2 linked regions of the Elephas maximus indicus genome follow. The protein of the gene in region 1 interacts with the protein of each later gene in a pairwise test. Links are inferred from orthologs where the notes say so. Each region holds a gene or a part of one and is shown on either strand. Other genes may lie near its edges. The genes, in order: ABI3 and NUP58.

Evidence for each region.
Region 2: the proteins of ABI3 (region 1) and NUP58 interact in binary tests that used the Homo sapiens proteins (3 or more experiments, as listed by UniProt). The two-hybrid records come from large-scale screens. The link is inferred for Elephas maximus indicus from reciprocal best matches to the Homo sapiens genes ABI3 and NUP58.

Annotation. Positions count from the first base shown.
Region 1 is NC_064837.1:44,355,176-44,359,090, forward strand, and holds the start of ABI3 (ABI gene family member 3), read right to left. Parts: upstream 2,368-3,915; 5' UTR 2,193-2,367; coding exon 2,076-2,192; intron 1-2,075. UniProt on the Homo sapiens protein: May inhibit tumor metastasis. In vitro, reduces cell motility.
Region 2 is NC_064841.1:56,588,663-56,592,577, reverse strand, and holds the start of NUP58 (nucleoporin p58/p45), read right to left. Parts: upstream 2,831-3,915; 5' UTR 2,644-2,830; coding exon 2,537-2,643; intron 1-2,536. UniProt on the Homo sapiens protein: Component of the nuclear pore complex, a complex required for the trafficking across the nuclear membrane.

The sequences.
Region 1 (3,915 bases):
TATCCTACCTTTCTTAAGGGGCAGGCACTGGGCTAGATGCTTTAATACATTATCACAATTAATCCAAGTAATCATTCCTTGAGGAAGGTTGTAAGAGAGATGGGCAACTTGCCACAGGTCTTGTATTTGGTAGATGGCAAAACTGGAAATTGGACTCAGGTCTTTGTAACCCCAAACCCTGCGTGCCACGCTATGTGTGCAGATGAGAGCAAATCCAGACACCTTGAGATTTGCAGAAGGTATTGAAGAATGGAACCAAACCATAAACCAAACCAGGTGCCATAGAGTTGACTTGACTCCTCACGACCCTTGTGTGTGTCTGAATAGAACTGTGCTCCGTTGGGTTTTCAGTGGGTGATTTTTCAGAAGTAGATTGCTAGGCCTTTCTTCCCAGGTTCCACTGGATGGACTGAAACCTCCAACCTTTGTATTGAGCATGTTAACCATTTGCACCACCCAGGGACTATGAAGGAATGGAAGGGACTGCTTTTATCCTTTTGACAGTAGGAGCATATCTTTCCAGGGCCGTGAGAACAGAGCTGGTGTGTAAGCTATGTTCCATCTCATCTACAAGGTGGTCACTCACTGTCTACACAGACCAGAATTATACCCAGGGTAGCATTTTCAGCCAGAGATTTGGCGGGTGGGCTCTGGAGTTGGATTTCTGGGTTTGAAACCAGGCTGTGCCACTGTCTTGGAGACCTTGGGAAAGTGACTTGGTCTTTGTAAACCTCAGCTTCCTCATTTGAGAAATGGGACGGTATTACCTCCCAGGACTGGGGTGAGGACTGACTGAGGCAGTAGAGGGAATGTTGCTTGTCCCAAAGCAAGGGCACAGAGCATTGTAAATGTTATTCTGATTGGCTCTATTTAATCTGCCATTTTCTTGCTCTTTTTTTTTTTTTCAACATGTACTGTGTTGGGAGGTCCCTGTGCCTCTTGTCACAGTTGGGTTAGTCCAGGCTAGAAAAATGAAATTTTGTCCAAGTGGTAGGTGGCACAAACACGTAAGCACTCAGAGACACCTCGGAAGAGAGGCCTGGCAATCTGCTTCTGAAAAGTCACAGCCTCAAAAAATCCTATGGAGTATGGTTCTACTGTGCAACACATGGGGTCGCCATGAGTTAGAAATGACGGCAACTTTTTTTTTTGTAACAGGTTATGCCTGTAACACTTAAGAGAGCAGAGGAAACTGAGGACAGAGAGGGCAAATAACTGTCTTAAAGCCATACAGCATGTCAGGGAAAGGGCTAGACTTCAGAAATCAGGGAGCCTGGGCTGATGCCCACTCTGTGCTTCCACACTGTGTGACTTTGGACAGGTCACCTCACCTCCCTGAGCTGCTCTTTCCTCATCTATAAAATCGGAATAACATTACTTGTCTCACTAGGTAGTTATAAAGGCCAATGAAATAACAGAGTCGCTCAATAATAGATCCAGGAATCTACATTCTCAGTCCTGGGACAACCACACAATTTTAAAAAACTGTTCTAAAATGTCACATCCTCATCTTTTGCTGGTAGCCTGCTCCAGAAGTCATGTTGTCCATTCCCCTGCCTCTGTGTCAGCCCTCTTTACCCTAGCCTAGTCTGACATCTCTTAACTTTCCCTCAAGATATCAGGGAAAGAACTCCAGTCCTCTTTTCCCTTGTCCATCTCAAGTTCACTACAATGGTTGGGAAGTTCTTCCAAAGTATCTCCTACAGCCAGCCTGAAAATGGAATGATGGTGCCACAGGTTCTCTGGGTTTGAGTGGGAGGGTGGGAGGGTAAGAGGGAGATAAGCCTCAATGAAGCTGGATACCAGGATGGAATAGCTCTGGCCCTGGCATCTCTGAGGCTCTGGGAAGGAGAAGGGACACAGCAGGGGTTTTGGGTGGCATGGGTCAGGGTTAGAGTTTTGGGAGAAGGGATGATGCCAAAGCCTGGCTTGGGAGGTTTCTCAGCCCAAGCCCAGCACATCTGCTGAGCCCTCTCCGGCACCTGTCAAGCTGGCTCCCATGGCCCAGCCCTGGGGGTGGGCCCTGGGGCACCTCCCAGGGCTGGGGTGCCCACACCTGTGCTTGCCCCACGTACCTGAACATAGTTGTCCTCGCAGTAATCGGCAACCCGCAGCAGAGTGCTGTAGTTGCCCCGCAGAGCCTCTCGCCCCATGGGGATCTCAAACTCCTGCAGCTGCTGCAGCTCCGCCATGGCCCCCAGCCTCTGGCTGCTCCCCGGGGAGCCCGCTGGTTTTGAGCTTCACCCTGCCCTTGATTGGTTGCTTCGTCTCCCCTCCCTCTTACTGCTTTTGGTTTCCTCTGTGTGAGAGACCCAAACCTGCTTGCAAAGGGCAGGGAGGCTCATTCCGGGACAAGAGGAAGTCAGTCCCTACTCCCTGGGCCTGGGCTTCTCTGTCCCCTGCCCAGAGGAAAGGGGAAGCCAGGGACCCCTTTGGGGGCCCAGCCTCCCAATTCTTCCCAGCAGAGGAAACCAAGGCCAGGGCAGCTGTGATTGCTCCCAGGTCCTGGAGAGGAAACTGGATGCTGGGGGGATGGGGTGGGGAACTGAGGAGGAAGGGGCTGACCTACTATGGGGGGTGGAGCTGGATTTTCCACTCAGGGAAGGGGGAGGAAGGGCAGAGGGTGGGAGCTTCCTTGGGAAGCTCCAGGATGATTCACCACGGGAGGGGGTAGTGGAGGGTGGATAGGATATGGAGACTGGTCATGCTGGTGGGGGACTTGGAGTGGCGGTGCCCCACCAGTGGAAAACAATGATGCAGCAGCAAGAGGAATCAGGGTTGGACACAGGAAGGACACACCAAGAGATTCCCTGAGAAGTGTTATCAAGCCTCTGAAGAGTTGTCCATTTGATTCCAGCTCATAGCGGACAGAGTAGAACTGTCCTGTAGGGTTTCCTAGGCTATAATCTTTACAAAAGCAGATCAGGAGGGGAGGGTTTGGGGGACAAGGCAGGAGGAGGGGAGCCTGGAGAGCTGGAGGGTGGGGTTTGGGGAAATGAGAATGGTGGGAGCTCTGGGTTCCTGGGTGGTATAAGCAGTTTGCACCTGGCTACTAACCAAACGGTTGGCGGTTCGAACCTACCCAGCAGTGCCATGGGAGAAAGATTATAGCTTAGGAAACTCTATGAAGCAATTCTACTCTATGACACATGAGGTCACCATGAGTTGGAATCGACTAGATGGCAACGGGTTGGGGGTTCTGAACCAGGGACATCATTGAAGGCAATGGTGGCTGATGCAGGGGGCAGGGTGATAAGAAGGTGGGCTAGAGTCAGAGAGATCGGAGGTGGCCTCTCTTTCCCAGCTTACAGTGGGAAGAACCTCAACATCTCTGCTCCAGTGGCAGGGAGGGCTTGGAGGCTCAGGTGATGGCTGGGCTTAGAATCTTGAGCCTCTGATCAGCTTAGGCATCAGAGCTTTTGGCTTCCAGACCATCTGCTTTATCCGAAGATTTTCTGCTGCTGAGGAAGAGCTAGGAAGCTCAAACACCATCTTGTCTGGGTCCAGCACAAGTGAACTTGGAAGCGTACTCTCTTTCCTGGCAGGTGAGAGGGGCTGAGGTTGCACTGGGCTGGGATCTAGTCTTAGAATTCTTGAGGTTAGGCCCTAGGCAGGCCGTAGTGATAACTCTGTAGTAATAATGATATCAGTAATAATAATGATAAATGTATTAAGTGTGCATTATGTTCCAGGTAGTGAATTAAAATAGCTATATGCATTATATTTTCTGGTGTTCACAATAATCATGTGATAGGTGCTATTACTGTATTATACCCATTTTGCAGATGGGGAAACTAAGTAAGACTCAAGAAGGTTGAGGGACTTGCCTATGGCCACACAGCCAGGAGGCAGCAGAGCTGAGGTCAGAACTGGAGTCTGGTAGGTTTCAGAGCCCATTCTCTTAAGCATAGGGTA
Region 2 (3,915 bases), on another chromosome or scaffold:
TTTACTGTGGAAAAGCAAAGTTGACTCCATCTAGTCAGAAATGATATTTTAACTTCTCCAGCCTGCCTTAAAGGAGTCCTAGTGGCACAGTGGTTAAAGTGCTTGGCTGCTAACCAAAAGGCTGGTGATTCAAACCCACCAGCTGCTCTGCAGGAGAAAGAGGTGATAGTCTGCTTGTATAACAAATACAGCCTCAGAAACCCCATGGGGCAGTTTTACTCATAGGGTCACTATGAGTCTGAATCAACTCAACGGCAGTAGGTTTGGGTTTTCAGTTTAGAGTACATTAACTGTGGACTTAGAAGTAAAAGCAGTAGCTAACATTTACTGAACACTTACCAAGATGCAGAGCCCTGGTGGCATAGTGGTTAAGTTTCGCTGCTAACCAAAAGGTGGACAGTTCGAATCCACCAGCCACTCCTTGAAAACCCTATGGCGCAGTTCTACTCTGTCCTATAGGGTCACTATGAGTTGGTACCGACTCCACTGCAACGGGTCTGGTTTTCTTGGTTTACCAAGATGCACGTACATGATGCTAGATACTTTACATGCTTTATCTCATTCAAAAACCCTCTGAGGTTAAGTATGTTATTATACACCTTTTCCAGGTGTGGGAACTGAGGCCAGGAGAGTAAGTCACCCAAAATGACTTACCGAAAGAGACAAAATCACCAAGCGGCACCAGGAGCTGTCAGGTCTCCAATCTAGCACTCTAACGGGCAGAGGTCTTCTGTCATTAATTTATTCAAATCCTTTTAAAGCCTGTGTAGATTTTTCTAGTTTATTACCAAATAATTCATTTATTTAGGCATTTGACAAGTATTTATTAAACCTCTTTTCATATGTTAGACACCATCATGAGAACTGAGGATGGAGTGGTAAATAAGATTAGACCCTGCCCTCAGGAAGTTTCCAGTTAGTAAAAAATAGATATTAATCATTCTTTTACTCAATAAAGAGGTTTTGGACATCAAGCACTTTCTCAGTATATACCAGCAGGGTGGTAATGTAAATGTTATTTTTTTACAGTGGTCCTGGATCAATGAATGGGAGCAAACTAAAATGAGAAGATGGGTTCAAGATGAGTAAAGGGATTCCAGATTATTCAGGCCTCGTAGACTATGGTAAAAAAAAAAAAAGAAAAAGAAAATTTAATTTCATTTTAAGGGTAATGGAAAATCACAGAAAGGTAGCAAAGCGCATTTAAAATGAAAATCTCTGGCTACATGTGGCAAAAAGGCTGATGCAGGAGATACAGGTGCAGTTTTCATCTAGCAAAAAAAAAGGTTGCTGGTTGGAAAGCTGGCAGGAATCTTAAGTAGAGCAAGAATCTTATTCATCTCACCACCTAAAACAAAGCCTGGCTCATAGAAATTTGTTCAGTAAGTATTTGTTCTATGAATGCAACACCGTGGAGCAGGACGGTGGCATTGGCAATGCACAAAAAACGGAAATCACAGAAGTAAAATCACCAGGACTTGCTGGTTAAGTGCATAGAGTGCCAGAAAAAGAGGAAAACCCCCAGATTTCTAATCTTGGCTGTGTAGTCTGGGGTGCACTCCCCCCTCCTTAAATACACGTAACCCAAAATATTTTTGCCTTTTTAACCTACAACCACATCCTTCAAGCTCCAGGAGTTATCTTGTAGCTCATGCTATGCATACTTCATTTTATGCACTCCTCTGCCTCTACCTTCAAAAGATTGAGGCCTACGGGCTAAATCTCTCATCATAAAATCATCTTTCACCGTTTTAATTGTATCTTTGCGAACCTCTGCTAGTTGTCTTTTTGTCACACCTGTCCTCGCAGGTTGCAAGAAAACGCTGAATATGTCACCTACGCTTTGCAATTTAAGTGAAAGGCAATGTGGGAAATTACAATACGTTGGTGATCGAGAGAAAATTGTTCTCAATGATGAAACGTGACAGGCCGTGATACTGTTAGTCAAATATTCCAATTTCCCCACATACCGTACAAAATTATCACCAATAAATACTGCAAAAAGCCTTAAAAAAAAAAAAAACTTAAAAAGCTCGCTAAAAATAACCACGAAATCATTAAAGCACCGTAACATCCAAAACCGTAACACTGCAGTGGAATCTGAATTATCGGAAAGACGCTTTTAATTGTTCTCCTTACCAATTTCCATTCGTTAAAGATCTTCATGTCAAACCCTACAATAAACCGTAATTTCATTCATTCATTCAACCTTCATCCCATGCCTGAAGACTGACGCCTCGTTAAGGCTCTGGGCTGTGAACCCCAGGCCCTGTCAACCAGCCAGGCCCCGCTCGGTCGGAACAAAGCCTGAACCACCCGCGATCCTGGAGACCTCACAGACCGTCCGCCCTCCTCCCTGCCAGGCCGGGGCACGGCTCGGGCTGGACCGCGAGCGGGCGGCCTACCGAGCGGGTGGCCCGGCAAGCGCATATCTGTAAGCCCACAGGGAAGGAAGCCACCGGGAAGAGAGGGTCGGGACCAACAGGGAAACCCGCCGGCGAAGACCCGGGCCCGAAAAACGAGTACACGCGGTTACCTAGCCGCCCCTGTCCCGAAGGAGAAGCCGCCCGCCGTGCCGGTCCCGCCGGCGGCCACGGTGGTGGAGCCCAGGGTCCCGGTTCCGAAGGAAAAGCCGCCGGACATGGCTGCACCCTGGGCCCGGGGCCGTTGGCAACCCGGAAGAGTCGGGACCGCTCCTCACGCCTCACCGCCGCGGCGGAGCGGAGGACATCTCTCACGCCAGCTCCAACCTGGCGGGAACCTCACCCCAACGGCGGCCAAGACAAGGCCGAAGGGGTGGAGCAACGCACGCACCAGCCCGTTGCGTCGCTCGCCGCTCGCACGCACTGCCGGGAGCGAGCCCGCGTCGCAAGGGACGCTGGGACAGCGCGCGACCGACTTCCTTAAAGGGGCAGGCGCCCACAGTAAAAACTAAAAGCCAATAATCATTTCTATTTTTTATTTAGTTCTTCTATTTTGGTATCTGTGCTGACTCAGTCTGTACTTTGTAGTTTGGCGTCTCAATTATTGCTTATGTCCTCCCTACTGGATGTGCAGAATTCCGGAGTTGGGAAGGGCGCTAAAGAGCATCTCCAAGTCCCTCCTTTTACAGAGACAAAGGCCGCGAACTGGCTGACCGCTGTCAGCGATTTCGGAAATCATAATTCACCCATCCCTTCAACGCACTGAGCTTCAACTCTGCTCAATAGCTTGCGCGGACCGTTTCGTATAGTCGGACACGGCAGTCACCAACAGGGCTTAGGACCGGCCCGATGGAGGTGTGGGCGCTGGCTCTGTTCGTGGTGCTGAGGAAACGGACTGTCCAAGGCCCTGTAGCTCATGGTTTAGCCAAGTCAACCAGTAGTGTCAGCATAGTAGGAGCTAGAGCCAACCGGGACGCCGCTTCGATATCCTCTGTGCTACCTACTAAAGGGCCTATACAGCTGCAAAGGAGAAAAACACTATACAGACAAGTATGACGTAAGGTAAAATTTAAGAGTTACGTGACCAACGTCAGAAAACTGTGGGTTCCAAGAAGATATCTCCTCTGTGGGAAAGATCAGGGAAGTCTTCAGCAATAGTACAATAGAGGTTCCGCCGTCATAATGTGGGTCTCTTTTTCCATCGCGAATTGTTACCTTCGCCTCCTCAAATGGTTTTCCTACCTAAATTCTCTTTCCATAAAATCCGTCCCATTAGCAACCACCATATTTGTTCTTCTAAAATATAATTGCCACCATGGCAGTCGCTTGATCAGAAACTCCCAGTGGCTCCTTAGTCTAATACGCAAAGTTCTCAACACGACCCAGCTGTACAACCTCCTCTCTCACAATTGCCGTGAATGCAACACTTTCTCCGGTTGAGACTGGGCACTCCCACTTCTGTTTGTAGAATTAAAAATAGATAAACACCATT